Astyanax mexicanus: one gene and its partner. Each later gene encodes a partner of the first gene's protein in a complex. Links are inferred from orthologs where the notes say so. Each region holds a gene or a part of one and is shown on either strand. Other genes may lie near its edges. The genes, in order: os9 and herpud1.

Evidence for each region.
Region 2: os9 (region 1) and herpud1 share a complex: the UniProt entries of both Homo sapiens proteins name them as parts of the HRD1 complex. The link is inferred for Astyanax mexicanus from reciprocal best matches to the Homo sapiens genes OS9 and HERPUD1.

Annotation. Positions count from the first base shown.
Region 1 is NC_064412.1:17,470,014-17,487,023, forward strand, and holds the start of os9 (protein OS-9), read left to right. Parts: upstream 1-9,707; 5' UTR 9,708-9,751; coding exon 9,752-9,901; intron 9,902-11,429; coding exon 11,430-11,606; intron 11,607-11,715; coding exon 11,716-11,779; intron 11,780-12,027; coding exon 12,028-12,104; intron 12,105-12,193; coding exon 12,194-12,292; intron 12,293-12,432; coding exon 12,433-12,634; intron 12,635-12,815; coding exon 12,816-12,980; intron 12,981-13,067; coding exon 13,068-13,177; intron 13,178-13,555; coding exon 13,556-13,598; intron 13,599-13,871; coding exon 13,872-13,963; intron 13,964-14,051; coding exon 14,052-14,273; intron 14,274-14,638; coding exon 14,639-14,876; intron 14,877-15,745; coding exon 15,746-15,952; intron 15,953-17,010. UniProt on the Homo sapiens protein: Lectin component of the HRD1 complex, which functions in endoplasmic reticulum (ER) quality control and ER-associated degradation (ERAD).
Region 2 is NC_064416.1:22,554,844-22,571,222, reverse strand, and holds the start of herpud1 (homocysteine-responsive endoplasmic reticulum-resident ubiquitin-like domain member 1 protein), read right to left. Parts: upstream 7,292-16,379; 5' UTR 6,985-7,291; coding exon 6,829-6,984; intron 4,874-6,828; coding exon 4,796-4,873; intron 3,881-4,795; coding exon 3,803-3,880; intron 3,299-3,802; coding exon 3,105-3,298; intron 2,899-3,104; coding exon 2,794-2,898; intron 2,368-2,793; coding exon 2,008-2,367; intron 889-2,007; coding exon 759-888; intron 1-758. Other genes in the region: slc12a3 (solute carrier family 12 member 3), read right to left, coding at 9,415-9,556, 9,751-9,818, 10,516-10,651, 10,763-10,849, 11,083-11,194, 11,407-11,508, 11,749-11,811, 11,983-12,065 and 9 more. UniProt on the Homo sapiens protein: Component of the endoplasmic reticulum quality control (ERQC) system also called ER-associated degradation (ERAD) involved in ubiquitin-dependent degradation of misfolded endoplasmic reticulum proteins.

The DNA of each region.
Region 1 (17,010 bases):
AATAGACTTTTTGGCTGGAAGTAACAAATTAAAATATTAGAAATTTATAGTGTGTCAATTAGCATTATGACATTTTACAAATGTTCACAACTAAATGTACATCATATACAACTATTTTTACTTAACAACTTTAAACCAACCAAAAATATCAACATTGTTGATAGTTGCTGACACTACTCTACATCCAATTTATGTTCTTTTTATGTTATCCTGACATAAAATGTCAGACCCTACATTTAACCAGATAATAATGAATGATGCTAGTGGCCAGCTGAGTTAGTAAGTGTTTTTAGTGCATTTTAGACATCCACAGCAATATACAGTAGGCAGTTCTGGATAAAAACCGTGGCATTAGACGCAGGAAGATCACAAATGTGCCTCTAGACGTGGTCAATAAGAATGGATCAATAGGGAAAGGGCCATTATGAGAGGTTAGTAGTGCAGCCACAGCAATTAGTTCTCAGGGGCTCTACTGTACCTTCTGTTTAAGCATGAGTACTACATTCTGGTATCACATACATTATACTGACCAAGAAAAACACACTGAAATATAACCACGGAGTACAACCAGAAAGCCTAATACAACAGAGAGTTTCCTGCATGGTTTTTACTTTTGAGTTTATTTAAATAAGGGAAGTTACTAATAACTCTCTATATAACTAGATTTGACTTGTATTAAAAATCCTTCAGGTTTAAAGTCTTCATCATCACCATTCCATATCCCATGCATTCCCATACCCTCTCACATGCATCGCTACATCATTGCAATTCGTGAAATGAATGAGATAATGGAGATTGTTATCTATACGTAATAAAAGCTGTAATGTGGCCGTGATTTTAATATTTTAAATAAAAGCTGCATGCAAGTTTTAAATTAAATGTAAAGAAAACAGTAGCTTTGGCATCATTAAAATTGTACTCTCTGTTTACAAATAAAACAGAAGTTTATTTGAACTAAAAATCGTAATCGTATTGGAGGATCGCTCATATAGTTGGAGAATATCGAGATGACTTTTGTTAAATATTGCCCAGCCCTAGTCCTGGCAGTAACCAAGAACAAGAAGCAATAACTCAGGTTATGGCTTATCCTCACTCCCTATAGGAGGCCAGTCTCCTCCGCATCCAGTTCAGGAATGTGCCTACTCACACTATCGTAGGGCGTGGTCTGTTGAATTAGACCATCTAAAAGGCTAATAACAATCCTAAGTGATGGCTCTTAGTGGGTGGGGAGGTAGAAATACAGAGAGAGAAGGAGAGAGAGAGAAGGAGAGAGAGAGAGAGAGAGAGAGAGAGAGAGAGAGAGACGATTTGGATGCAAACACACCCATTCATTCGTTAAGTTCACCTGTAATAAACAAATCGCCACTATCAAAGCCAATAGGCTTTATGTAAAAATGGCCTATTAATTTAATTTTCTTTGCATAACCGGCCTTAAATTCTGTGTAACCATCCCATTACTGTAGGCTCTCGTTAAAGCCCCATGCGCAGACCCTGTGGAAGTGCAGTGGAGGCCTGAGCTGCTGTGCTATCGTAGCAACACGCTTAGTTCATGAGAGGGATGTACAGTATGTGCAGAGAGCGGGCATGTGCAGCGATCCTGCTTTAGCGAAAACCACTCAGCACGAGACGCGCCGCGGCTTATTATTACAAGCTGCACTGGACGACGCGAGATACGCTGTAAGCCACCCAGCACATGCAGTACTACAGGACCACAGCAGACCCAACAACACGAGCAAATAAATTACATGCCAGGCCTATCGCTCGCGTTATGATGCATCAACGCCCGAAATTCCACCCTGGATGATAAACCATATTTATCACATTTTCCTAAATCGCATAAATCTGTCGTTGTGCGCGTAGTGCTGTGACTATCAGCTGCAATTATTGCATTTGCAAACGTCAGACCTGGAGAAATCAAATCAGACCAGCAGCAAAAAAAAAAATCAGCTGCCATAAATAACCCTTACCTTTCCAGCGCTGGAATCCTCAACAATGTCCTCTGAATCATTAGCTCGGAATTCCCTGCATTGAATCACTGCCCGCTGCTGATGGGGGCAGAAAATCCAGTGGCATGACATCCACCACTGATATAACCGGGATGGAAGGAGAGATGGATGTAGACGGTGAAGCTACCCCTCTGGCGGAGGCTAATTCCAACGGAGTTACTGCGCCTCTGCAGCGCTGCTAATAGCCATCCCCTCCGCCACGCTGCTCCCACTCCACCCGTATTCCGACAAGCTCCCATAACCCACCCTCCTCCCCTCCCCCCAATAGCAAAGAACATTTAATAAACGCTGAGTTTTTTAATGCTTGCATTATTTAACATTGCCCAATAGGCATCGGTTAATGTTGGGACTCTGAATATACATTCACAATGCTTTTACGTGAAAGGTGCTTTTCACAAATAATAATATTAATCATTGTTATTAAAATTCCCATTTCTACACTACAAGACCACAGTACATGCCATAGGAGTAGAATACAAACAATCATATTAAGTGTATGTAAAGTTAAATACAAGCCTTATACATATCTAGCTCTGGAAAAAAATAAGGGACCACTTTCGTTTCTGAATCGGTTCCTCTGATTTTGCTATTTATATTTTATATTGTGGCGGCTCTGGGTTGTGTGTGTGGCTGCCTGCAGGCATGTTTCTGTTCTCCTGTGTGCGAGGATGACAGGGGTGGGGCATCTCCCTTGGGAGGGGTTATGCAGAGAGGGTGGGCACCACTCTGGATCTGCCATCTGGGAGACACACAGCTGGGTTGGTGGCCTTTGGGCAATTAGAGTTCTGTGGGTGAATGGTTTTACCTCTCCTAGTCTTGTTAAAGACTGTAAGTGAGTGGCAAGCCTGTTTCATAAAAGAGTTTATTAGCATTCATCATGTGTCTCACGTGTCTTCCTTCCTCTTCCACGCCACATTTGGTGTCAGAAGTGACCCTGCTGGAAGATATTGAGCTGCTGGCAGGGGAAATCGAACGGCTGAGGAGGAAGACAGCGGACCAACGGACTAGAGGCAAGGCTCTCCAGCGGAGTGGACTCGGACCTGACGGCGCCAGTGGGCTGTTCGGAGGTCGTGGCCGGGGAGAGGACGACACGAGCACGGCGGCGCTGGCTCCCAGAGCGGATGGCGCGAGGACGGCGGAGCAGCAGTTACAGCCTTCATTGTACTGTACCGTGACGTTTTACGTGACAGTGCCGCGAGACAATGTCACGTGGACCCCCTAGTGGTGCAGGCCAGTTACTGCAGTGGCATGCTGTGTCACGGGACAGTGTACTGTGCTGTGACGTTTTACGTGACAGTGTCACGTGCACCCCCTAGTGGTGCAGGCCAGTTACTGCAGTGGCATGCTGTGTCACGGGACAGTGTACTGTGCTGTGACGTTTTACGTGACAGTGCCGCGAGACAGTGTCACGTGCACCCCCTAGTGGTGCAGGCCAGTTACTGCAATGGCATGTTCTGTTACTGGACAGTGTACTGTGCTGTGACGTTTTACGTGACAGTGCCGCGAGACAGTGTCACGTGCACCCCCTAGTGGTGCAGGCCAGTTACTGCAGTGGCATACTTTACATAGCAGTTAGACAGTGACAGTGGGACCTGACAGTTTTATTTACACTTGCAGCGCGTAAAAAAGTGTTGTGAAGGGGAAACGGCTCTTTACCTAGCTGAGCCAGGCTGTTACTTCTGATTTCAAATCAAGGACGGCTGCTGTGCTTTTGACTGTTAATATTGCGAGTTAAATCAGCTGCTTAAATCGCATGACAATATGTGAAGTTCATAGGATATTCATTCAGACAGTCATACTATAATAGCAGCTGTACTTGACCATTTGCTCTTAAGAGTTCTAAAAGTTCAAATGTATCTTATTCATTTATAGTATACTATTACATTATTGTGCTATTTAAACTACTAATCACTACTCATTATTTATTAACTACTTGTATTTACTGTACTGTTTTATTCAGTTTAAACTGCATATACTATAGTATTCTTAATTGATTTTTAAATTACTCAAATTTACATTTACTAGACTACTTATTGCTCTATTTAGAGTTAAATCTATTAATAATGTTATACTAATTAATATTATTGTAAAACATATCTTACTTTATACAATACTACACTTGGTCATACTTTTTACTATAAGTCTATGGTTACGTGTACCCCCAAGTAGTGACCAGCAGCATCTCGAGACAGTGCCACGCGCAACCATGAAAGAGTTGCGTAACAGCAGTGACATGCGCCACTAAAGGACTTTTAAGATAAAAGCATGTCTGCCGTTTCTGGCACATGACAGCATTAATTAATCAGAGAGCATGTAATAATAGTATTTTTTTTTTTTTATGAACTGACACACTTATATATGTATCATGTATATTTACATGTAAACTCACATGTGCTACATCATTATGTCATTGTCATAAGTTTATAAGATATTATTAAGTTATTATTTTAGAAAAAAACAAAAAATCAGAGCATGTAATACATCCGAATGAAATGTACAGGACAATTATTATTACATTATTAAAATTGTATAACACCCATTGCAGAATAAAAATGGTTAATATAAAGTATTTGTTATCATTCTACTGCAAAATTAATGCTCTCTATTTCTTTATTTGCACGTAGCACCGTCACATCCATGTAAAGTATGCCACTGCAGTAACTGGCGTGCACCAGTCGTGACACGTGACACTGTCTCGCGGCACTGTCACGTAAAACGTCACAGCACAGTACACTGTCCTGTGACACAGCATGCCACTGCAGTAACTGGCCTGCACCACTAGGGGGTGCACGTGACACTGTCTCGCGGCACTGTCACGTAAAACGTCACGGTACAGTACAATAAAGGCTGTAACCCCCTCTCGGACGGCGGCGCTGACTCCCAGAGCGGATGGCGCGAGGACGGCGGCGCTGGCTCACGGAGCGGATGGCGCAAGGGCAGCGGCGCTGACTCGCGGAACGGACGGCGCGATGATGGCGGCGCAAGCCTCCAGGATGGCGGGCTTGACGGCTCAACCCCGCCTTACCCCCTACGACGGCAGCGCTGACTGGACAGCCTTCGGAGCTCAGCTTGAGATCGTGGCGGGCGGTGCGGGCTGGACGGACGCCGAGACGGCAGCCAACCTCTGCCTGGCGCTGCGGGGCGACGCGCTGAGGGTACTGATCGAGCTCCCCGCCGAGTGCCGCTGCGAGCTGCCTGAACTGACGCGGGCGCTGAGAACACGTTTCAGCCGCCAACCGTCGGAGGCGGCCGCCAAAATGCTAGTGGCGGACAGACGCAGGAATTGCCGGACTCAGCGGCTATTTCCTGAAATGCACATTGAATGGAGTGACGGTGAACGCGCTGGTGGACACGGGCTCGTCAGTCTCACTGATACGGACCGAGCTAGCGACGGAGGTAGCGGCCGAGTTTGTGACTGACAACAGCCAGCGCATCGCTCTCTCTTCAGTCACCGGGGATCCTATAGGTCTCCTAGGATTAACGGAGTTGACGATTGATGTCGGCAAGGGGCCCTTTCAACAACAGTTCTGGGTAGGACGCATCAACGACCCGTGCATTCTGGGCAAGGACCTGCTCTCACGCGTCGGAGCTATCATTGACTGTGCACGGGGCTCGGTGCTGGTGACTGGACTCCCCGTAGAGATACGTGACGAGTTAGGGGTAAGTGAACTGGTGGGAGGGAATGTGTGTGATTTGGTGCGTGATACGGTAGAGGGTCCGCTGGATGCGTGGTTGAGTGTAGATCCGATAGAGGAGATGCTGGAGCGCAGTTGTGAGTCCCCAACAACTCCGTTTGCGCGATCTGATCGGCCGTTTTCGCACGAGTTTCGCTGTGTCTGAGCGCGAGTGTACTAAAACTAGCCTTGCGGTGCATTCGATAAACACGGGTGACGCCCAGCCCATCAGGCTGAGGCCGCACCGTCTGGCGTTAGCAAAGCGTAGCGGCGGAGCAGTTAGTCCGCGAGATGGCGAGTACAGGCATTATTGAGCCTTCGAGCAGCCCGTGGTCGGCCCCAGTGGTCCTTGCGAAAAAGAAGGATGGAAACTGGCGCTTTTGCGTGGATTATCGGCGACTTAACGCTGTCACGAAGCTTGACTCCTACCAGCTCCCCAGGATCGACGATACGCTGGACCAGCTGTCTGGCTCAGCCTGGTTCAGCTCGTTAGACCTGAGGAGCGGATATTGGCAGGTACTCCTCGCGGCGGGGGATAGGGAGAAAACCGCTTTCTCGCTCGGCTCAGCCCTATGGCATTTCACGGTGCTTCCGTTCGGATTGTGTAACTCGCCGGCTACTTTTGAGCGTCTTATGGAGCGTGTTTTATGCGGGGTTCGCGGTCGTGCTGCGTCGTTTATTTGGATGATGTCTTGGCGCACGGAACCGACTTCGACTCCGCACTGTCTCACCTTGAAATGGTGGTCAGCGCGATTCAGGCGGCTAACCTGAAGCTCAATCCGGCAAAGTGTAATCTGCTAAGGCAGCGTGTGAGCTTCCTGGGCCACGTAATGAGCGGTGCTGGCGTGGAAACCGATCCCAAAAAGATGGAGGCGGTCCGTGACTGGCCCACGCCGCGAGACGCTAAAATGGTTCGCAGCTTCGTGGGGCTCGCCTCGTATTACAGGCGGTTTATTAGGGGGTTCGTGGACGTGGCAGCGCCGCTTCATGCTCTGACTAAGCCTAGTGTGAAATTCCGCTGGTCTGACGAGGCGGAGCGGGCATTCGAGGAGCTAAAAAGCCGCCTGTGCAATGCTCCGATTCTAGCGTATCCGAAGGTGTCTGAGAGTTTCATTGTGGATACTGATGTCAGCGACCACGGCCTCGGAGCAGTCCTGTCGCAGGTTCAGTGCGAACATCACACTGTCGTGGGGGGAGGTGGTGCCTCTGGGCCCGATTGCTAAGGCGTTGCGCTCCAACTGGGCTAGTTTTAGTTTGTCCGACGGCGTGCTGTGCCATATCTGGGAGGATCCGGCGAACGGGCAGCGCCGGTAGTGCTGCTGGCCTGTCGCTCCGCTGTGCAGGAGACGACGGGATTCACGCCGGCTCTGCTTATGTTCGGGCGCGAACTGAGGACGCCGGTCTCCCTGGCTTTTGGGGCGCCTCCTGACGGGGGCGGGTACGCTTCGGACACGCCCACTTTTGTCTCGGACCTTATGTCTTCGCTGGAATTAGCACACCGTCTAGCGCGCTCCAACCAGTCTGCTGCCGGACAGAAGCAGAGGCGTGCGTACGACACACGCTGCTTTGGGGACCTGTTGGCGGTGGGGGCGAGGGTTTGGCTATATAACCCTCAGCGGAAGAAGGGACTGTGCCCGAAGCTCCAGTCGGCCTGGGTGGGTCCGTGCTTGGTGCTGTCCAGGCTGGGGGAGGTGGTGTATAAGATCCGGTGGGGCAGACGCACTATGATTGTGCACCGTGATAGGCTGGCCCCCTATAGGCCGAGACTGTCAGACACTGTGGTGCGGAGCCTGCCGGCCTTGCACTCGTGCCTGACCTGAACTCTGGCTCTTCGGAGCCGCTGGCAGGTGGTGCCGTGCCCGGCCCCTCCAGGCTGCCGCGGGCACGGAGGCCGCCCGCCCGCCTTAAAGGTCACCTTCCGCGAAAATCCGATTTTTCTTGTTTTTTGTGGAATACAGTAGGTCTCTCCGAGTTGAATGTGTACACCTGCACATTAAACTGTTTTGCAGCCCCCATTGTCTGCAGGAGCTAAGCAAAGAAATCCCCCCTCCCCCCCTCCGAAAAACGGGTGAATTTTGAATTATCTTTCTGCCTACGTAGGCAGAAACTCACAGACCAGCCCACCTTGGCTCGAGAAACTCCCAGAGGCGGAGCTGAAGCGACGCAACATCACCGCTCATCAGTTAGGAGGTGGGAGGCAGTGAGCGGCAGAGCGGTGGAGGGGCGTCGCAGTGCTCCTAGCCAATCAGAGGAGAGATATTTGCAATGCTGTTTGCATGTATGAATATTCATGAGCAAAGCTGGAATCCGGTCATTTTGGACACACCCCTAAAACAGTCCATTAAAAAAGAGCTATACAGAGACACCTGAGCACTTTTTTTTTTACAAAAACGGCTCACATGTCATTCATTCATACTAGAGACCACAACTAGACATTTTAAAATGAAAGAAAAAACGACGGAAGGTGAGCTTTAATGACTTTGTTTGCAACTGATTGTAAAAAAAAAAAGTTCTGTTGTACACGGGGTTTGTGTTGGGTTGGTGGGGTCGCCGGGACGGCTGACCCTTGGGAGGGGGGCTATGTGGCGGCTCTGGGTTGTGTGTGTGGCTGCCTGCAGGTATGTTTCTGTTCTCCTGTGTGCGAGGATGACAGGGGTGGGGCATCTCCCTTAGGAGGGGTTATGCAGAGAGGGTGGGCACCACTCTGGATCTGCCATCTGGGAGACACACAGCTGGGTTGGTGGCCTTTGGGCTATTAGAGTTCTGTGGGTGAATGGTTTTACCTCTCCTAGTCTTGTTAAAGACTGTAAGTGAGTGGCAAGCCTGTTTAATAAAAGAGCTTATGAGCATTCATCATGAGTCTCACGGGTCTTCCTTCCTCTTCCACGCCACAATATGTTTGTGTAAAATTAACATTATTGTTTTATTCTATAAACTACAGACATTTCTCCCAAATTCCAAATAAAAAATATTGTCATTTAGAGCGTTTATTCGTAGAAAATGAGAAATGGCTAAAATAACAAAAAAAAAAACTCCAGAACTTAAATAATGCAAAGAAAACACGTTCATAATCATAACGTTTTAAAAGATCAGAAATCAATATTTGGTGGAATAACCCTGGTTTTTAGTAACAGTTTTCATACATCTTGACATGTTCTCCTCCACCAGTCTTGTACACTGCTTTTGGACAACCTTATGCCACTCCTTGGTTTGAAAAGCTGAAACTCCAACCAATTTTTTGAAATGGCCAAATCAGAACATCTCTAATAAAGAGGTTAAAACCTCGTGAGAATCTATTAAAGTTTTGTTTAAACACCAGATGGCGCTCCCGATTGAGTCGAAAATGAATGGGTTAATATGGTGCAAAAGATAAAAATTGAAGTTTTAAAATGTTAAATACTTTTCATACTGAAAAATGTACTAATTTCCTTAACCAACAACATCAATATATAATGTTTCAGTACGGAAGATATAATTTTTAAAGCTTTTAAACTCCAGTTATAAGTCTTGTAATCATGCTCTGACACCAACCAGTCAGCTCCCAGTAGCACTAATGCTAGCGCATGTGTTGCCTTAAATCCATTTACTGAAGAAAACTAAAATGCATAGATTAGTTATCTTAGATTTTTTAACAACATACATCATTTTATTTTTCAAAACAGAAAGAATATCCTGGACAAGTTTATAGCTATTATTTTTAATTTGAGGTTTTATTCGTTTAGCTCAATTCACCCCCATTCATTTTGGACTCACTCGATGGCTCCCTCTATCGGTTGCAGTGATTTTCTAATATAACGGCGGGGATAGTAAATGGGTAGTACGCTCTCCATAGACACCGGCTCTGTAACTAAATTATCGGTCCAATAAATACCCTTGTCGTGGCTATGGAATAACCTGTTTAACTTGTTATCCAATGAGAACACACTGCTGGCTTGACTGACGTTTTCTCTACCCAATCGCGTAGGGAGGTTCTTCGACGTTGTCCAATCCGCGTGCTGTTTCGCACACGTCCGTTGTCTTACAACAAATAACAAGTGAACTGACAACGCCAGTTTGGGATGTGAGGGAAACATGGCTGCTTCCTTGGTTAGGTGTTTGAGGGGGCTGTATGTTTTGTTTTTGATATGTCTCCTTTTCGCCTCTGCTTTCCTGAATTTAGAGGAATTAAATGAAATGAAATATGGCATCCAGATTCTGCCAGACCCGGTTATCATGGGCCAGGTAAGTCTGCAGGCTGAGGTAGTTAGCTAAGCTAGTTAGCTAGCATTAGCCTGGTTCGTTAGCTTTACAACGTTATTTTGATAAGACAGCAACAGTCTTAGCACCAAAAACAACGACTCGCTGACCAGCTAACGCTACCTTGTCTATCTGGAAGAGCCTGTAGGTGCTAAATATTTACTGTCGTTATAAATTTCACTCTTATTCTTCATCTAAATTATCTTGGCTAAATATAACGGTTAGCTAGGCTATCCTCTTTATGTGTTATTAGTTAGTCTTGTCTGACAGCTGCTAGGTAATTTATATATCGTGTCACAGTGCTGTTAACCAGGCATGTTTTGGCTTATACGAGCTTTCTGCTTGTTGTGTGGCATAAAAGAGAAATTGCATCTCCATCATATGTGGCTTAGTTTGGGAAATTGTATTCACCTGTCCTCTGTAGCACTAACTGTTTATTTGTTTGCTATGTTAGTTAACTACGGTTTAGATCGAGTAGTTGTGTGGTTATGTTAAATCTACAGCTCTGGAAAAAAATGAGTACCACTTAAAAATTATTCTTTATTAAAAATTATTCTGAGTTTCTTTGATTTTACCAAACCAAGGAAGATGGATGATCACAAGCTGTCAATCCAAGCTGAACTGCTTTAATTTTTTGCACCAGGAGTGGCATAAAGTTATCCAAAAGCAGTGTTTAAGACTGGTGAAGGAGAACATGCCAAGATGCATGAAAACAACTGTGATTAAAAGCCAGGGTTATTCCACCAAATATTGATTTCTAAACCTTTATGAATATGAACTTGTTTTGTTGCATCTTTTTTGTGATTTTAGCCATTTCTCATTTTTTGCAAATAAATGCTCTAAATAACAATGTGTGTGTTTTTTTTTTTGGGGGGGGGGGGGGGATTTTGGAAGAAATGTTGTTCGTAGTTTATAGAAAAAAAGCTATATTCATTTTACTCAAACATACTTATAAATAGCAAAATTACAGACACTGATTCAGAAACTGAAGTGTTATTGAGAGTTATTGAGTTATAGCTTCCTGACAGTACGCCGGCACTACTAAAAACTGTCAGGGAGCTAGCTGACAGTACGCCGGCACTGCTAAAAACTGTCAAGGGGCTAGCTGACAGTACGCCGGCAGTATTAAAAACTGTCAGGTAGCTTCCTGACACTATGCCGGCAGTTTTAAAAACTGTCAGGGAGCTAGCTGACAGTATGCCGTAGTAGTAATACTGTCAGGAAGCTCCCTGACAGTTTTTAATACTGCCGGCGTACTGTCAGCTAGCCCCCTAACACTGCCGCCCGTCTCCCGGCAGGCAAAGATCCAACCCCAACTGGTGTTATTTGAATATATATATATGTATATATATATATATATACATATATATATATATATATATATATGTATATATATATATATATAAGATGTATATATTACTAATTAACAGACTGTAGAATACCTATTTCCTAATAATTTGTGCTTTTGTGTTCAAATGTCACTTATCTTGCCCTGTCATTATTTCTCTGCCAGGTGGAGGATGTAATGTTGGTCTCCAACAAGTACAAGCAGCTGTATGAGTGTCGCTTACCTGCCCAGGCAGTCCGCTTCCACCAGGATCCTGTACCAGAGGCTGACTCTCAGGGCTACAGTGGACCGGGGATCACTGAGCTCCTGAAGCCCATGCAGACTGCTCCCTGCCTTGTCAAGGTTTTAGCCTAAACTCTTTATGTGCACAGTCTAACAAAAACTGTTTTGTAATAAAAAAAGTCTGAAAAAAAGTTTTTTTGAGATTGTTTTTAATATGTTCTCCACACAGACCAAAGACTGGTGGACCTATGAGTTCTGTTATGGCCAGCACATTCGACAGTATCATTTGGAAGGTGGAGTATATAATCTTTAACATATAGTGTGTACAAACAAACACACACGCACAATGTCACTCTCTTTCTCTTTCATTCTCTCTTTTACCTTTTGTTACATATTATTTTTCTATATTGTTTAGCATTACATTGCAAACAGCACTACACATTTGTCATTATAAAAGGTGTATATATACACACACGCACACCCTTACAGACATGTCTGTTAATTTCACAAAGTATTATTTTTTTATTTGTTATTATTTCAGATTCAGAAATCAAGGGTGATGTCCTCTTCCTGGGTTATTTTGAATCAGAATTTGACTGGACCAATGAAACTGCAAAGGTAAAGCTTAGTTTTTTGTAAAATAGTAAAATTACTCTTTATATCATAAGAGAGAATTTACTATACCTAATTTTCTCTTTATGTTTTAGGCCACTAAACAACACAAGCTGAAGAGATACCACAGCCAGTCTTATATCAATGGTTCCAAGTGTGATCTAAATGGCAGCCCAAGGGAGTCAGAAGTCAGGGTGAGACCTCTTTGCAAAATCATTTAGGAATGATTTAAATAAATGGGCACTCATGATTATGTGAAGTTGCTTCATAAAAATGTGGTTGCTATGGCTGTGATGGAATTTGATTACCTGAAATGTGCCTTTTTCTCTTCTAGTTTGTTTGTGAGGAGAGTTCAAGTGATTTTATTGCTCGTGTGGATGAACCTCAGTCCTGTCGCTATGTTCTCACCATACACACCTCTCGCACGTGTCAACACCCACTCCTGCGCCCACCCTCCTCTGCCAAACCACAGGGCATTGTGTGTCAGCCTGCTCTCAGTGCTCAGCAGTACATGGACTATGTCAAAGCGCAAGTCTGTAAGTGCAGATCTCACAATTCATAATTATTATTATTATTTTTTTTATTTAATCTGTGAATTCATTTTCACCTACCACATGCTGCCACACTCTTTCTCACCCTCTCTGTTATGCTCAATGTTTCTCTTTTCTCTTTTTCTGCTGGTGGGTGCTTATGTCGGCCTTTGGTGTCTGTCCTCAGCTGACACTAAACGTAAAGTGGAGCAGATCTCAGAAGAGCTAAGAAACCTGGATCAAATTTTGTCCAAAGATCAAACCAGTGAGACGACAGCAGCAGCAAATGACAAAATAGAAGAAGAGTCTGCAGCATCCAGTTATAAGCTGGCCTCAGAGACTGAGGATAAAGGTCAGTATTCCAAGTCTGTGGCCGTATGTTATTTGTTCCTCTTGTTATTATCCTTCTCTTTCATGTGTGTTGTTTTTTTATGAGCAGAGGCTGTAGAGGAAGAGGCTGAATTGGCCAATGTGGAGCCAGATGATAAAGATTTCTGGGATGGTGTCACCAAACCAGAGAGTACAGATCAACAGACACCTGAAGCACAGGTATGTTTAATGCCAAGGAACATTGTTTGCCTAAAAACCTTGAAAGTGGGTATGTGTGTACTGGACTACAAGGTTCGAATAATTGCGGCTATCTGTCCCATAGTTACATTTTTGGGGAGGTGCGCATCAGGGTATGGCGTAGGTTATGTGGTGGGAGTGGTGATCTTTTAGCATCCTAAGCTTACTAACGCTGCATTCAAATCCAATCAACAATGCTCCAAAATAAAGTTGAAAGCTGGACTGTAGGAATGGTTACTCCAACAAAAGCAGGAAAACAGAAAAAAAGACCACCTCGGCATGTTTTGACATTGTTCATTTTTTCTAATTAAGCATTCCAAGAGCTGCCATGCTAATGGACGTTTAAATATGTTTCTGCAGGAGTTTGATGATTCTCTGGAAAACCAGCCTCAAGACAATGACCGTAAGAAAAATGTAGTCTATATCAACTTAACAGATAAAGGGGAAAAATAATTGTCTGGTTGTTCTAAAGCAACTTCAGCTTTATTTACTTGATAGATTAGTGTAGGTGTAGCAAACATACTGATAGCAAACACACTTCTCCATGTTACCAGTCTTAGGATACTCTAACAAAAAGGAGAAAAAACGGAAAAATCTTAGTTATTTACTGGAAGTTTGAAATGATCTTGCTACTTCAGAGAACACAAACTTTTCAATAATCTTTCTGTCTTTGCAGTATTCGGGGAGGAAAAGTTTAATTTTAAAATAATCACAGACCCTGCTGACCTAATGAAGTTTGTTCAGCACCTCAGGGAGAGCAACAAAAAAGTGAGTAATGCAAGCAGTCTCATCTCACATGTGTTTAAACTGATACAGGGAAATCTAAATAACCCATGCTGTGTTTCTTTTAAAAAAGAAGGCACATCACAAAAATGAGAAAAGCCAGTCACCTTCACAAAAAAGTGAACCTGAGGAGGCAAAGATGAAAGAAACCGAGGTTGACAAAGAGGAAGGAGATGAAGATGAGCAACTTCTTAAGGAGTTTGAGGAAGAAATGGCTGATCTGACTGTGCCTCCTTCCAAGATTGAAGAAATAAAAGAAGAAATGGAGAAAGAGTTTGATAACATCATAGAAGAGGTACTGGTTTCCAGCTTTTACCACTACCCATCAAATGAAAAAAAAAAAAAAACGATCATGAGGAGCAATTGCTCAATACAAATGTTCTATCACAGGCTGCAATAGCACAAACTGGAAGATAAAATTACTTTTTTGCTGACCCAAAAAAATTGTCTCATCTTTCTGTTGTGATCTATTACACCAGTATTTGCTTGGCAAGCTGTTGAAGATTAGTTTAAGGAATGGAAAACCCTGGGTACAGTAGCTTAGTTTTATTTTATATATATTATTGCTTAACCTTTTTGAGCTGCATATATAGTTCTTATTATAGAGTGGTGCACAATGTAAGCTTTGAACTTACTAAACCTTTTTTGTGTGCATTTCAGGCTCAGCAGGAATTAGAATCAGAGGGCCTGAAGGGGGAATTTGATCGGTCCCAAGCAACTCAGACTTTGGAGAACACTTTAGGCAAACTTCTGGATCGTTTGGAGGATAGGACGGGAGAGGATGCAGAATCAGAAGATACAGAAGCTCATACAAACCCACAAAAAAACACACAAGATCCACCTGAGACAGAAACAGACTCTGCTAGTGGTGGTCCCAGTCTTGTCCCCAAAACCCCAGGTAAACAAAATGATGGGTGAGTCAAAAAAGTGCTGAAAAATGATTCAGTTCTGGCCTGGATGTCTGGTATCCTGCACAGTTTGGTGTCCCTGCTCAATCATTTTTTGAGCCTATAAATTATGCAAAAAATGTATTGGACACCAAAATGTGTTGGACCGGCTATCCAGAATCAGAATTCAGTAAACCAGTATAAGGTTAATTGATGCATATTTTGTGTAAATGGAAAATGATATTTCCATGTTATGTTTACTTTTAATTTTCATTTCATACATTTATTAAATCACATATGTTTATAAGCATCTTCACTGTTCGAGCATAACATTTATGATCGCTTCTTGTTTTTCCACACATTATCTATTTTTTTTTTATTCTTGCTCCACTGAGCATATAGGAACAGACCCACTCATACCAGCACAATAAACACCAACACTTTGCCAGTGTCACTTTGTGGTGGTCTCTCTTGTGGGGTCCAGAACATTGAGAAACAGGGTAAAAGTAGGATAATAACATATGCAGAGAAAGAGAAGGACTACAGTCTGTAATTATAGAAATTTAAAAGTCGTTTATATGCTCAATGGACTTGGAAAATGGATAATGGTGTAGAAATGCTTAATTGATGTATGTAGATAAGCATACATCATGTTCATAATCTGTCAGCATTCACTGTTTCTGACTTTGCTTTTGTTTCCCTGTGATAGTGTGATCGTTTATGAAACACCTATCACCTCATCTCTCAATAAATAAAAATAATTTCACCATTGAGTTGTGAACCACATACTGGAAAACAGGAAGGGTAGCTTTTTTTTTAATCCCCCGCCATATAGGGTAACCCCCCCCTCCCTCCCCCTTTCTGTGTCTTGTCACCTCAGCACGGGAGCTTGGCAATGGGGAGCAGGTAAAAATCAGGGTGACTAAGTATAAGGTGGGTGGAGACGTGGCTGCGGGAGCGGTTGCCGGGGGCGATGGTCGTGAGGGAGGTGTGCAGGTGCGAGAGCTGGGCGAAAGTGACCCCCAGTGGCAGCAGATTAAGGATGTGGTCACAGAGCAGCTAGGAAAGGCTGGCATCAAGGCCGAAGGTAGGCCAGAAAGTGCACACACACACTTTAAATGCTGTCCTCCTGTGTGTGTTCATATAGTTTAGCTCAACTCTCTCTCTTTGGCTTGGCTTTTCCTGACTAACCCTTGCCTTTCCTTTTCTGAATGACCACTGTAAGCTCTTAGTCACTTCACATAATTTCTGTTCTCTTCTCTGTCTTGCTGCTTCTAATCAAATCGGGTGACTGCTGCACTGCTTTGAAGTTAATTTCTTGTAAGAATCGGTGTGACTGCTGTTTTGAGATCGTTTTAGAAAGACTTGCATTTGGTCTTTTTGGGAGTGGTTTGACAGCAACTTAAGCGTGTCATGATGGATAAAAAATGGATAAAACATGTTTACTTTAAGTATCTCCATATAAAAAAAAAAACACATTGTGACAGGCCTGCTTGCTTGTTTTACTTATTGTAATGCTAGGACAATTTTACTTATTGTAATACTGTAATAATTTTACACAGAACTTGCCTGATGTAAAATAGCATCTTAGCCATTCATGGAAATAATTTTGCCAACAGTATTATACCTTATTTAGTTTTTGAGGATTTATGTTTTTTGGTGGATCATTTGAAATATTTGTTTTACAATGTGCCATGTTATTAAGCTCTAAATCCACTGAAAGGGGATGAGTTTGTATGAATTTGGTATTCTGTTCTTTAATTATTGAGAAACTGGCTGGCTGAGTTACTGTATTCTTTGTTTGGGTAATCAAAGCAAAAAACAGATTCCTCCCTTTAATCTGACATCCAAATTAGCTGATTCAGGTATTGCTTCCCGAGAGAAAAGGCTAATGGAAAATTGGACCCAGTGTCAAGGTTTACTTCAAAAATCACCATACAAAAAAAATCTAAATACTTTTACACTTCATTTATTCTGTTCAGTCATCTTCTCTGTCTCTTATTAACAAACACTTACCTGCGTCCTCTTTCCTTTCAGTTCCATGTTCATGCATGCAATCATTTGTTGTTCATGTAAATGTTCAAGTGGTGTGTAAATTTGATAAGTACTTTTTGGCCTGCTTGTGTTGCAGATGTGTGTGGATTT
Region 2 (16,379 bases), on another chromosome or scaffold:
GTACTGCTGTTTATTAGCGCTATCCTCTCAGAACATGAAACATGCTCAAGTTAAACAGTCTGTGTTTCAGTAAAAATGGGGTTCTTGGTTCTCATAAATGTTTATAGAGCACACTGTCTGAATGAGCACTATTGCTCTCCTGTATGCGCACAGAAAAATATTTGGTGATGTTTACACACAGAGTCATCTGCAATGCCTTTTAGTGACCCAAGCTTTACACAATACCTTATTCTGCTGCTCAACAGATAATAACCTAGCATTAGTTTTCAGCTTCTCTCCTACTTTTTTCCATCTCCATGCTCTCGCTGCCTGTATGGTGAAGCGATGAGGGAGGGGGAGGTGTGTTCAGCGAGGGAATGGGTGGGGGCAAGGTGAAGTTGTAAAGAAACACTGGGTGAACGAAGCTAATTCTATATACTATATTTTATATCTATAAAATCGATATTGTTTCATTTTATATATCTTAAGAAAATATATCAATATTTATTAAAATCACTCTGCCCTATTTTGGCACTTGTATTATTCAGCATTTGTATTATTGACATATAGATGCTGTCTATTTTATGTTTTTAATGCAACTCTCCGTCAAGATTCAGGGAATTTAAAAGTAACTGTTCTGGTTAAAACTCTGGCAATAAATCCAAAGGTTATGTACATCCACAACCTTGTGTTATATTGTAAGTATTGTCCAGTTTAACCATCTGATAATGGCAAAAAAATATTATGTAGGACTTTTTTACACAGTTAGGATTCCTCACCGGCTCTGGCTGCTCTTCTTGGTTCAGATTCAGGTTCTGCTGATTCTGAATGACCTCAGGTGCAGGTGCAGGCTGATTTGGTACCCTGGCCTGAGCTCTGTGTCTGAAAGGGAACCAGCCTGCAGTGTGCCTAAAGACAGCAGAGGAGAACAGTTTAGATGCAATCCAGGAAATGTAAGCATAGAGACAGACACTGAACTCAGTGCCTGTTATAGGACACCATGGGTGCTAAAATAGCTTAGCATGTGTTCAGCTGCTGGACTCCATATATCACGACAAACACACTTTTACAGCAATGCAGCTGGAAATATCCACAGAGTCTGTTTACACCACAAGGTCAAGTTTACGGACAGTATGAGAAGGTCAGCTTCGCTCTGTGTGCTTTCAAACCAAGCTAATCATTGCCTTTAAAGAGAGCGTATGGAAAAGCCCGCAATCCGCAGTGCCACGTCTACACAGATAAAGTTTATCTGAAGCTGTAGCAGTGGGTCCTTGAGCTGACACACAGTTCTAATCTGCTCGGAGCAGCTGGAGGGTGAAGAAGAGAGTCCCACACTGTGCATTACTGCTAACACTGCAGTTAGTGCGAGACCCAATGGACAATCATATACAGACAGAGCATGGTGACCATAATGACTAGAGAGAGGCAAGGCACTATAAATGAGCTATTTGACAATAGTCTGCTCTTTCCTTTTGTCTCTTTCCCTCATCTCCCTCCTTCCCTTGTGTGCGTAGGAGAATGCTGAGTCACAGTCCAAAGCTACAAGAAGGCACAGAGGACACCGCTTTCTTGACTATAAACATAGAGCTGTGTCCTCTGAACCAGATATACCAATTATTTTCTAGAAAGTACTAACGGAGTTCATTATTACTGTGATATGCTTTTAATTTTTTTCCAATAATCCCACGTTCAGAAAACAGAGAGAACTCTTAGTGCTGTACTGTAGTACTGTGCTCACGTGGGGTAGAGGTGCTTAAATTAAATTAATTATTTAAATTAATTACCACATTTCACATGATTATCTGGATATCCAACAGCGATATCATACATTGCATTTTTGGTCAAAATCTTGCACTCCTAGCATCTAGCATTCGTTAATGACATAGCATGACGGCCCTAAAAGTGTAACAAGAAGAAGCTAACCCAGACACTTCTTCAGTTTATGGTCCAGTTTATCCACCATAAATACTCAACTAGCTTATTTTTCTGCTTATCAATATGATGCAGTATGCTGTCTGTGCCACTTACAGGTACATGAGGAACAGGCTGCTCATCACTAAGATGAAGCGACTCAAGTTGGAGTAGAAGTAAACGATGCTCAGGAACACAGCAAAACGGCTGGCAGTGTAAACCCAATCAAGCCAATCACGCTCCACGTCATCCTCATCCTCCATTACTGGCCCACCCTGTGCATTCATCCGCAGATTTTGATTGGCTCCTTCCGGGTTGATGAAGGCAGGGTCTGGGGCATTCTGATTGGCTGGCAGGTTGTCAATCGGGCCCTGATTTGGCAGAGCTGCAGGTACAGCAGCTTGATGTTGAGCAACAGGAAGTGTAGAAGGAGCAGGAGGGGCCACAGGAGTAGTGGCAGCTGCCATGGCAGCTTGGCTGAAAGACAAATTACAATATTAAGCATACAGCAATCATGCGCAATTAGGGGTGGGTGATATGGTAAACATATCACAATATTTAAAGACATTTTCACAATATACAATGTTGATTACAACATTCTGACACTTAAAATGTATTAGTAGTGGTGATTCTTTAGTGATTATCACTAATAAAGTCCAGCTCTGGCCAGCTGGCGCCTTTAGAATCTGCATTATTCAATGACAATAGCTTGAGTGATATACATTATTACACACTGATATTGATATAGCACTAATGTTCTAGAGCATAGAAAATGCATCCCAGTTAGAGATTTGGTTGAATGCAATATAGTTCATATGCATATGTATATATTTTACAAGTTTTTAGTGCCATGCTCATGTTGTGAATCGAAAGGAATTAAGAAATAATTAGGTTAATACTTACTACTGCATGTAGTACTGGCGAGCATACATATGCTGCAGCCACAGTAGCTGCTGTGGACTGTACAGTGAGTAAGTAGGGAAGGCTGGATGGTTCATTGCTGCTGGCCTGGAAACAGAAAACATACACTTAAACAAGCAAGGAAAAACATTATCTCTGAAACAGCTAGAATCAGAGAAATGAGACTGTCATTTTGGTAAAATGTTATGCAGGTAAAATGTTCTTTGTTGCATTTTTTAGTACATTTCACCCCCAGAGCCTGTACCAACCACTGACAGTCATTATCAGGCAGACAGGAAACAGTGGGAACTCACGTGGATGTGCTCGTGCCAGTGCCTGTGGCAGGCCATGCTGCATGGGGCACAGCAGGGGCGGGGTGACCCCGCTGTCTGAGGCCGCTGGTGGAGGGCACAGTAGGCACAGATGGCGCTGGAGCGGCAGAGTTTGTGCTCTGCCGAGCGGGAGCTGGAGCTGAAGCCGAAGAGGGCTGCTGCTCTGCTGGTTTGACCTGCACCAGAAATGAGGGACAAAAGTTGATTTGAATACAAAAAAATTTAAAGTGCAATGAGGACACAAAACACATTCACACTGAAACTCTGAAATCTGAAAATAACTGGCGGTTTAAATCTGATGCAAAATTTGTGCTCTCCAGGGGATTATAATGAGTGCAGCTGTGCGATCGTGCTCCTTGCCACCCACTGAGCTAGCACTGCCTTCCTCAGACAGGCTCTAGCACTCACTGAAGCACAGCATGCTGTGATGCCGCGAAGAACAACACTGGTGCTGGTAATGAGACAGAACCTCACAGAAGTGTGAGGAATGCCTGGCAGTGTGAGTTCATTTTTTGTGCACTCCAAAATCTCAGGTCCCCATTTTAACTGTATATTGCAGTCAAAATCTGAAGAACTTACAATAACCTACATTATTATTTTGTATAATAAAATGTATAAAAGTACATTTATATGTATATACTAAAATGGATAAAAAAGATGTCCCCAGAAAAAAAACCTACCTTGGGTATGGCACCCTGCTGAGGACCAGGCTGGGGTTTGAAAGCACAAACAAGGTGAATAATGGGTACGGTGTCCATCTGTAAAGAGATTAACATTAATATTAGATTAAGCTCTGTCAGGTTCAGTATTATAAAGTAGCAAAAACAATTGTGTACAGTGCTTTTGTGTAAACTATTAATGAACAAAATGCATTTAAGATTATTGTTAATAACTGTGGGTGCCATACAAACAAAACTACTATGTGTTATGTAATGTAACATAATAACTGTTTCTAATAAATACTGTCATTCTTTTCAACCCCCTTCATATCCAGACATGTCACAAATTGCAATATTTCTCTTTTGACGTAAAATCTTATTTACAAGCAATAATGTGCAGCAATAATGAGGCTCAAGCTTTAAAGGAATGGAAGAGTAAGAGAAGTTCTGAGCCACTTAAAATGTTTGAGCAAGACTATTTAATAATTCAATCTGATAAAAAAATGCCATTACAGACAAAGAAAAGTTTCTTTCTAAAAGGAGAGCATTTCCAAAACAGAGCGTAAACATTTGTGTGCATGTGTTTTGTGACTGAGGGGCCACAAGGGGTGTTTAGTGCTTCTATGTGGCAGCTGGAACAACAGTAAAAACAGCCTGGCCCTCTGAACATATTTGGAGGATAGGTTTGTTGTCAGGACATGCCAAACTGTCTCAAAGTAGCTTCTTTGGGGCAGTTCATGCTGATGTTACAGGTCCTGTAGGACAGTTCACTAAGTTCATCTAAGTGTCACTGAACAGTTCTCCCAAACATCAAAGGTAAGAGGTCTAGTCATGCATGCTTAAAGGCCTTTGTTTAGTCTGATACATGTATGGCCTTTGTTGTTTGCAAGTTTTAAAGTAACGTCACAAAATCACACAAATAATTAAAAACGTGTAACTGTCTTGAAGAAACATAGCTTTAATAACATTCAGGTGCGTAACCTAACTGAAAACTTACAGATGCCAAAAACTCACCTGTCTGAAAATATCTTTGATATGCAGGTGGTCTGGAAGCAGCTTTCCGGAGTAGATAAGCCTCTGGTCTTTCTCAGGCTGGCAGGAAGAAAGTTAGAAATGTCAATACTAATGTTTAAAAATCCCCAAATATATAAAAGAGTTGTTTTACAGATGATGTTAAACTTTAGGTAATTAAAAGGAATCAAAAAACATGTAACATTATGTATGCAACATAAGCTGTATAACACAGATATTGTGAGTGGTGACAGAGTCACTGGATGTGCTAGGTTATAGTCTTGTTTCTCTGTATAAAGACCTGGTGGCACTTTACAATGTAGAAAAGTGTTTAGTGTTGTTTAGGTTTAGCCAGATAACATCAGCCCAGCTTTTAGGACTGACTAATAAATTCTCCTAATTGACAGGCTCTGCTTTGGGCTTGAGTTAACTGGCAAAACTGATCAATTCTATGTTGTGGAACATCCATCTATTTTTTTGTGTAATATTTCTTATACTTCTGTTTTTATTGCTTTATTTATTTTATAGAATATTTTAGTGCTTATAACACTGTTGCTCATTTTCTTTGGTGTGTTACCAACAAATGTTTTTTGCTTGTTTGTTGAGATTATTGTACTATTTCCCTGTTTATTGCAATTTCTTTAAAACCAATAAAACATTAAATAGAGAATGCTTAAGAATTTTGTAAATAATAATAAATAATGATATGATATTAAATAAAACATCAAATTTTCCAAGTTGACCATGTAACCTAGAAAATTAACTTTAGATTAGACATTAGGAATGTACAATATGAGTGACACTGTTGGAAATTTTGAAACTGTAGCCAAACTGAGAAAACCTGTTTTGGGAAATACCCACAGGAGACATATTAGCTAGCATTAAATAATGCTAAAATGCAGAGAAGTTAACAATACAGCATGAAGCAGCCTATCTAACGCTAGCTGTGGTGGCTAATTGGTTGACGGTCAGCTGACTGACAGGAACAGTGTGTGCGGAGAGCGAAGGAATGTGGTGTACAAAAACAGAGCTCTATCTGAAGCTACATTCGCTATTAGCTAACCAGCTAGTTTACACCGACTTTATGCTACACCAAACGATAAACCGCCCCAGTAGCTAATGTTAACAAATAACTAGCGTTAGCTACCTAACGTTATCAGCTTTATCAAACTTGTCAGTTTAGCTAGGTTTGTTAGCTAACAATGACATTGGCCGGTGTTCTGTCAGGTTGTGCTACCCTGTCAAACCGTGCTTCCTACCATAGTGTAACTTTAAAGGTAAGACGTGTAGCGTTAGGTAGGGTATTAGAATAGGCCAAATCACTGTATAAGGTAAAGTTAAAGTAATATTAGTTGATTAGAAACAATTTATGTATTTGTATATTTTTAATGCAATATACACTTTTGTAACAGTCAGGCATACAATGACATATCAAGTTCTTATTACCTTTTACTGCACCCAAGCAGTATTTTACATATTGTATTATGTAAAACAGCTATAGCTTACACAGCTAACAATGTCAACTTTAGCCGGTGTTCTGACAAGTTGTACTTTACCCTGTCAAATCGTGCTTCCTACTCTAGTGTATATTTACAGGTAAAAATGCAACAACAACAACAAAGCACCATAAAAAGCCCTATATTAGAAAAATGCTCCTGGCAGACGTGTAGCGTTAGGTAGCTAAGGAACTAAAATAGACCAAATCACTGTATCAGGTAAAGTTAAGGTCATATTAGGTAATTAAAAACAGTTTGTGTAACTTTTCATTTTACGTTATATTTGTTTACAATTATTTTTTTTAACTGCCGTATACACTTTTTGTAACACTCGAGTAAATATCATTAACAATATCATCAAAATCTCATGTATAATGGCCCCAAGAAAAACAACAGTATTTTCATGAAAACATTTAAAAAAAATTATGTCGGCGCATGCGCAGTACCGTTCGGAAGCACATATCGACGCGTAGCATAACTCGACAGAACACCGGTCAGCTTCTCGTTAGCTAGTGAGACCATAACACACCCAGGACTTACCGGTTTGGATGGATAAACTCTTGTCAGATGAGTTTTCAGATCCTTCACCGTCCAGTTAATATTTACACCCTCCACCAGCTGGTCGCCATGTATCTGATTGGGTGTTTTAACCACAAGAGATATCTCTCCTTTCTCCTGAACATTCAGGTCCTCCATTCTCTCTGTGTTCTCGTTCTTTCTCTCTTTCTTCTTCTGTCAACAGCTAAGCTATTTAGCTAGCTTGGCTAACCTCGTCAATAACGCTACGGTACCGTCTCCACAATGTTCGCAAAATAAGCCTAATAACCCCCCCAGCCTGGGTTTAAAGAGCAGCTCCGTGTGTATCCAGCTCCCTCGCTCTCCAGTACAGAGTAATAAAGCTGTCCCCCGCGGTTTCGGCTCTCACGGTGGAAGTTGATGGAGGTGAAATACTCGGGCGTGTTGTTTCCAAAACACAGTGTGGCCGCGCCTGATTGGCTAAGAGCCGCTCGCGCTTCGACGTGGAGCCTGTGAGACAGGCAGCGCAGTGCGCAGACTCGCTGCGAGATCCTGCTTAGATAATAAACTCCCCCGAGCCGCGTCACTTCGGTTAGCTACTCTGACCAGTATGATGAAATATCACCTTTATCTTAATGATTCATCGAATAAACCTTTAGAATATATTGTAAAATGTTATATTCTACTCGCAAAATATTTTATTCACAAGCAAAAATTTCAGACCCAAAACTGAGCTTTCCTACATATTTATTTAATTAATTTCCGGTCTTTTTAATTCACTTCTACAATCTTAGTAGCATCAATACAAAAAATAGAAAGTTCTTCTGTTATTATGACTTGTTTTATAATGCTGATCTATTTTTTGATTTATTGATAAGCCTTCCTCAATTAGTGTATTAATGTGTTAAGCCTGAATTATATGCCAGTGAAAAATATTCTTCCTGCAATTTACACAAAAGGAGTCTCTAATAGTCTAAAGTAAAATAAAAATAAAATCCAATTAAAATCCTATTAATATTTTAATAGCTTTTTTTAATGTCCATTTCATTGGATGCCTGTGTTTAACATTTTTATATTAGATTTGATATTGATCTTTTTACTTTACAAATCATCCATAAACAGTAATTGTAACATAATTTAAGTGTTCAGAATCACGTGAAATTAGAAACAAATAGCTCTTACTTGCTTTGTTGGCTCTAGTGCTGCCTTTGCTATGAGCATGTTGGATCCAAGAATAATGGATATTATACATATACATATAAAGGAAATAGTGAATTGATGAACAATGAATAGACCATTAGAAATGCTCTAAAATGACTTAATATGAAAAAAATGACAATGTAATTAAATATTTTTACATTTACTTCCATTAAAAAATATGATGATACAGCACAGAGTTTCTCCCTTAGATATATAGTAATATGGCCCTTTCTAAAAGTGATTTGAGTCTTTTGATAAATAATTACATTATTTAGCAAATATCAAATCAGTTTCCAAAACTATTCAAATCTTTTGATCAAATAGTTGAACATGGTTTGATAGACTCAAATCCTATTTTAAAATAGTTCAAATCAGTTTTTAAAAAAAATAGTTTAAAGAAAAAAGTGTTTCAAATCTTTTTTTTTTTTTTACAAAATTTAAATCTTTAATGTTGGTGATTCAAATTTCTGTTTAAAAGACCAGCATCTCTACAAGTCTTTTAGAATCTGATTTAAATACTTAACAAATGCCTTAAATGTTTTAAAAGGTGATTTGGATCTTTTGAACAATGATCCAAATATTTGAAAAAAATAATTTGAATTACTAAAACAATGTAAGAAGAGGAGGTAACAAGGTAGAAGTACAGAAAGCAGAAATAATCAGAAGGCTAATTGCTTAAATTTTTAATACACTTTAATATAACAAAATGCATTTGATGAATACATTACTGATTTTACTTTACTATGTTCACTGTTTATGGGCTGGACATTATTTGTTGCTGTACATTTTCTTATCCAAATTCCATTACTGGTCAGTTTATGGTTAAAATGCTGCTGTTGCGCAAGTAATTCATCTGATATAAAACTGACATCCTAGTGTGTGAGGAACCGGTGTACGTAGAAAATGTAAGTAAATGCTGGCAGTTTTACACATGCTAATGTAAATGCTGGATTGAAAGTGGGTCCACCACCTAAACATTTACAGTAAAGACCACCCCTATTGTCAAAAAACTGAGTTATAAAATTATATTACTAAACACAACAAAACCTTCAACTTCTCAGATAATATAACATATTCTAGAAATATTTTGCACAGAATTATAGGAATCAAATAAAATATTACATCACTTGGATCAGTCCTATAATGACTCAAACATTTTAGCAACAGTTCATTAGTTAAAAAAGACAAATTCAAGTGCTAGAGTGAGTACCATCTTATTTTACATTTTCTAGAACGGGGATTCATACCCTTTTTGTACTGTGCAACCCCTTTTTAGGGTTTAAAATCAGCATCCCTCTCCTCCAAGGGACTACGTCAGAATCCCCAGATTATGAACCATAGTTCTAGAGGGACCACCAGTCTCCTGTCCTGCACTTCACAGCTGCAGCTAATAAGATTTTGGCAGGTTGATCACTGGCAGTAGAAAGTGAGGACATTCTCCTGGTTCCCCCTGACCAGCAGGACTGGAGGTCGCAGGTCACGGCACACGGTCTCCAGCCAAGCCATGTAGAGTGCACTCGGGCAGGCTCCTCTCCGGCCTATGGGCATGGTCCTGCCAAGCAAAAAGCAAGGATCTCCTTCAGGTAATGAAGACATTAATAACAAAAAATGGATCCTTGCCTTATTAAGTCTTTTGGGCGCAAGTGTCTGTAGAGGCTACTTTTCACATACCAACAAATTCAGCAATCATTAAAAACTGTAGAAGCACTGGGACAGTAAAGCTGTAAAATTCTGATATAAACTTACACAATAATCAATGCAGCATCTCTCGAGTAGTCCTTTAGGACTTCGTTAAGGCGGATCTGTCTGAAAGACTGGAAAAACACACAGAAATGCATAGAAGCATTACAGAAATGCAACAAAATGTCATTATTATTATATTTGCAGTATTTGGATGGTTGTTTTTGTTGTCTTGGCTGACTAAGCAACTTAGATTTGTATCATACACTAATATAATAATAATTTTCATCATATTTCAAGGAAGCTAAAGAATGCTACATTGACTTGTGTGATATGTGTATATGGTCTCCTGAAATGAAAGCAGATTTATGCCAAAGTCATTTGTTCGTTCAGATGGACAAATCTAGCCAGATGCCGCAGGTTATGATCATTACCACACACTGTGCTGTTCATTGTGGGAGGTAATGGCACCTATAACATTTTGCTGTGACCTATGTTCCATACACATGACCCATGTCCCATCCATCTGGCACCTACACTCAAACTCAGATAATTCAGATTGCCTTGCCATGAGCAAGCTTGTGTTCAGTTCACAACACTAATAAAGACGTGGACAATCCCAAGCCGTCTCGTGTGTTCATGCTCGATCTACATACTGCATGTGTAACCCACTGTGTCACATGACCAAAAATCTAATATCTATCGTCTAATTTATTGACAAACTGCATTACTATCACCTTTATGTACTAAGAGCCCATATTGTCATTATATGAATATAGACCAATTTACCTTTTTATATATCTAAATCTTAAAACTTTTTTAAATGGTTACCTTTGCCAAATTCTTTTCAAAATCTTCATCAGACACTGTCCACGGACACTCACTGAAGGTCTGGGCACCTCTTTCTCCATTCTTTTGCATAGCATGTGCCCTGTATGGCCCTAACAGGTCTTCAAACTTCTTAACACTGTCAAAGTCGGGAGAAATTGTCACAATTAGCTGTTACACCATGTAAATGCATATTATGTAAAAAAAGCACAGTGTGGCACAAAAATGTAAGTGAGAAAAGGACTAATACTGTTCAGGCTGAGGTTTCTCGTTGATGTCAGGGAGGATTTGAATCTCATGGAATCCAAGGCGAAACTTGCTGATGAGAGCTGTTAGCCTATAGAGATGAAGAGATAAAGAGAGAGGATCAGAAGGTCTGAGGAAACCAAAAATTTAAAGTGGACAAACCTAAACACTGAGACAATCTGATTAATATTTGCATTTATGTTTTACAGCGTTGATGAATAATAAATAATACAACTTTACGTATTGCTATGTTATTTTATTTCTCTTCACAGTGATAAATGAATATACTCATCCAGATAAGTGTTTCATTTTTGCTTGACTTACTCTTGTTTCTGTTCCTCAGCATGTTGAATCTCTCCTCCCACAAACACTCTCACTTTACACCTGCCCCAGCGCTTCTTACGCTTCAGAAGGTACGGCAGCAGTAGCGTCAGGCCTGACAAAACACAGCATTAGCCAAAGTTGCATCAGTTTTAGACAGCAGTGGTTCTTGAACCTTTTAGACTATATGCCACCCATGAAAGCCCTTGCTTCTTTTTGCAATCTGATGATTGTTTCTGGTCAATGCATTATTACTACCTAGACATCTGTTTCATACTGGGTCTAATTAGTTAAGCATTAAATACAAACAAATGAAAATAGCTTCACCTCCATCATCAAACAGCCAATACACATCAATAGTCTTCTTTTCTTGCTTAGTCTGAAAGACGGTGCTGGGTTGAGTCATGGCTATAAGCGATTCAGGATCCACTGAAACAGAGACAGTTATGTACAATCTGCACAAATATGTACATATATCTTCACACAACAGTCATAGAAAAAAACATTTCACTTGCAGGCCTTATTTTTCTCTTTTTCTTATTTTTATCTCCTATGCATGACTAGACATTCTTTCACAATACAGTCTTCTACTTGGGTAAAATATTTCAACATAACATCTACCATCATCTACTATCACTTAGCTTTACTTTTAACCTGATCTATGCATACTTGATGTGCTGATGTTTCTGGCATCTAGTCCTGGTTCTGTAGCTGGATCAAACCCTGGGTTAACTGCATAAAAGAAAAAAATGCGTGGTTGGAACACAGGTTCTGTGAAACAGTTGCAAATTTAGAATTATATACATATATATATATATATATATATATATATATATATATATATATATATATATATATATATATATATATATATATATATATAAATTACAGAATGATTGTTACCATGTGCTTGCATTTGATAAGACAAATCAAGAACGTCCTTCATCCGCAGAATGCACACTCCATACTGTAGGTCAAATGCATCACTAGGAAAGAGAGTTTTATGTTCATAATGTAATGTACTGCATATCTGTATTATTAAAAATGTAGTTACAAGCAGAAGTAGATGATAAAACCAAGTACTTACTGTAAAATTCCAATATAATTTTCTATGCTGGTTGGTGGACACTTGGTCCAGTTCTTCTTAAATCCCAACATTAAGACGTTAGGCCGGATACGACCTAAACCTGCACCCTGTTGAGGCAAATCAGAATCAGACACAGTGTATACAATCATTGCATATACAAGGCTAGACTTAAACTGAACTGTATTTCTGCTAATGTAAAATGAATGTATTGTGTAGGAAAGCTGAGGATGACCTGCAGCAACATCTGGGTTCCAGTGCGCAGATCATCAGCAACCACTCCATGATAGAAAGACTTGATGCCTCTCTTGTTGAGCCACGCCACATGACTGCTACTGTTGGCAGCATCCACAGCATCAGGTGAAGGTCCTCCCTTTGGGGAAAGGTTTGGCACATATTAGGTTTGTGTATGGATGTAAATGATCCAGTAGAAAGTTGCTTAGATTATGTCATATCTATTTTGGGATACCATTCATACTATAGTACTGGCAGTGATGTATTTATGGGCTGTGCAGATGAAGCAATTGTTTTGGAGCCTGTAGCGCAGCAGGCATGTGTCCCATGGGTAACTACGAATGCAACTATTACCCTACAATAAAACACAAAGGCAACACTGTATTTGAACAGTACGAACAGTTCACATCAGTAATTGAGATGACATTGCATTCTGCCGACATAAGAGCCATGTTATATAGTAAAGACATAAGGACACTGTTATAAAGCAGCATTTTTTAATGTAGTAGATATTATAAGGCCTTTGCTTTCCCTTAAAATATGTTTTTTATGCATAAATGCCTGGGCTTTTTCATAAAACACAGTTTATCAATACAGTGGAGGGTTTTTTTCAAATTTAAAAACATTAAATAAAAAAAAACTCCCAAAGGGTCAGAATATCACTAAAGCCAAATAGCAAAAAAAGAGTGATGAACATTGTTTTTTAAAATAAACTATGATGTATCAAGCCGTAAGTGCCTTTTGCCTGTCCAAGAATAAGACAGACCCTTTTATTAGTTTCATTCTTATTGCTACACAACAATTAACTGCTGTTATGATAAATGCCAAATGTTTCCTCACTATTCTATCCTCTGCACAATTGTCCACACATATAAAGCAGTGGTGATTCTTGTCTCAGTTGGTATGGCCGACCGTGACTGACACAGACGGCCGATAGTGGTTTGATTATCACACACAGCTTTCAAAGTAAATACCAAATTCAAAGCTTGTCTGAATGACTCTGAACTGCTCTCCCAAAACTGTTTGCAGCATTTTTGCTTCCAGATGTGTGAACATAACTCAGGTGGCACAGAGATTTCAGGTCCATTATATGGGAAACTGCTCATCCTGCCTGGCATCTCTAAACTGCAAATAAAGCAGCCATAAAAAGACTGTATCTTGCTGTAAAGTAATTTTTTTCCATTCTGGTAGTTTCAAGGCTCCTGGTTTTAATCATGGTAGCCCATGTGATTGAAAGTTCCTTCACATAACTGTATTGGATATAGTGAAACTTATTTTGCTTTTTGAATTATTTATAATTTTGATAAATGTTCGGATTGAAAATGAACTAGTGTCATTTACTTCATGACATTTACTGGTCTTACAGGTCTGTGTTATAAAAATACATTATTCAATGCTTATTTATGTTATATGAAGTTGTAGTGCAAAGTGCTACCAGACACTTTAACAGTGCATATTTTTAGAATATTATTGGTTGTGTTTTTTTCTCTGTTCAGTGTAGCATTATTTTGTGACCAAGGGACAAAGCAAAAGTCATGGCACACAATACTAGTTCCTGTCCCACTTGCTATTGGGCATGAAAGCAGAGATATAAATACAAATACATGCAAATACCTTTCTAAACTTAGATTAAGAAAGAGAGAAAGACTTACAACAACAATGTTTCCACACAACATCAAACTCTGGTTTTTGGTGAAGGTACCTACAAAGTCCACCAGAGCTGGCCGCAAACTGGGTGGCCCAGTGAGAACCAGACACTGAGGTCTAAGAGGTAAAAAGAGAAGAATGAAAGCGGAACACAGAAAATAAAGATAAAGAATAAATGTCAGAAATATAAGAATTACTTAATAAAAAAAACACCTGTAGTTCTTTATGTGTTCTTCTACTTGGTTGAGACCCACACACTGGGACAGTGCCATGTTATAGGAGCCTGCTTGCACTGAGGATCCCCAGTTTACAGCTAAAATGAAAAAGAAATCAGCAGTTACTCAGAAAGAACATGGGCTTGACTGGGCAACTTTTTGTTTCTGATTGTGTACTGATCTTACATGGTTTCTTGTAAAGCACGTATGCCAGCAGAAAGATCACTATCCCTATGGCTATGAGAGCGGCCCACCAGGTGAGGAGGAACATGATGATGACCGACACCACAGCACCCACTAAAGACGCCCACTTACTGTAGAAGCGGAAAGAGGGACGCCAGCCTGCACATAAACACAATGAAAGTCACATGTGTCTTGCAGTTATGAACTGCGCTACAGGTCGAAATGAGTCAAAACAGCCATAAAGCACTAAACTTTCATACTTGGATATATAATATTTAGATGTCTTAAGCATCAGATTGTGAGTATCTGGAAATTTATGCATACAGAGTTCCTGCTAGTGTGGTGGGACTGACCAGGAGAGTTGGTGATGGAGGCATGGAAACAGCTGAAGTTAATGAGGGCGTAGGAGCACAGGAAGAAGTTGGAGATGATGGGAGCGATGGTGTTCAGCTCAGCTGAAACAGTAAAATTCATGTCTTTTTCCAAACTTTTTTAGTATAACTGTAAATCTAATGTCTAAATTAGGTCTATACATAAGCTAATGGACTGATTATAAAAAGGTTGCCTACCAATAAGAATGAAGCAAACAGCAATCACATAGGTTAGGAGGTAGCTTCTGTATGGCTCATCGTTCTTCCCATAGCCCTTCCCAAAAAAGCCAATCACCGGATACAACCTGTCTTTGCACAGGCACTGAGGAATAAAACAGAACAGATAAAAATATAAGCTCCCTGGATAAAAAGTAGAATCACTTGTATATATTATTTCTGAATTATATTGATTTACAGCAGGAAATCACTATTATTACACCAGAATTAGTTTCTTTGGGGAGTTCATGCTTATTTTAGTTGGTTAGTTAAGTGTGGCTGTGTTGAGTGTGGGAGGGTTTAGGAACTTATGGGGGGAGCTCCCAGTTTGCTTAGTGGTCACCCTTTTTAATTGATTGGGGATATTTAGGGGGTGTTGTGTTGATTTATGAAGGGTTATGTTGATTTGTATGTGGTTTATTTTTTTGTGGTGTTTCTGCTCGCAGAGCATTGTTAACCCTCCTGAATTTGGGGTGGAGGGTGGATAAGAGCCTCAGACAATGGACCTGTCATTTTAGAAGAGTATTTCTGTTTATTGGCAGTCATTCTGATCTTCTATCTAAATTCTAAACTGCTCAGCGGAAGTATGTCCCAGCCTCGTTTTTCTACCCTGGTGATGCAACGATGTACTCATACACTTATATAATACAATAATACTCATACAGTTGCATATCCTAGCCTAGAAAGTAGGGTTCAGACCACAAGGTTATCATTTTAATACTGCCCTGGCCTGGAGTGGACAGGGTTGGGGCCTGGCTTGGGGGCTCATTCACTTATAATGGCCAATAATGGCATCTTACCAGATAGGGGGTTTAAGCCTGAGCCCTCTAATCAATAACCCAGTGGTTTAATCAATAAACCTTTTTAAGTGTAATTTACATTTTTTACACACTATAAATCATACAATATTTTTTGCCACATATTAATCACCTGAAATACTTTGGGTGCTGAAACCAGGCAAGCCAGTGCTGAGGACAGAGTAGCTCCAAATATACCAGCTGCAATCAGAGGAGCAAATCCAGACACCATGCTCATAGTCTGAAGCAAAAAAAAAAATACACATTACTACTGAAACTTAACAAATCTTAGAACTCTGTATGCAATATTACATGGTCTGGGTCAGCAAGTAATGCCTGACATCCCCTATAATGAGCTGTTGATGATTAACTGATGAAAGGGTTTGACACTGGCAATCAAAAGGAGTTATCAGTACCTGATAATAGTTACTAAGGCCATAAGTGCAGGTCTTGTTGGTGATGCAGTCACTAAAGTTCCAGCCATAGCTGCAGCCCAATCCCAGGCAGTCTTCAGCACCAGGCCCAGACATTAATGTGTCATTAAGGCTACCAG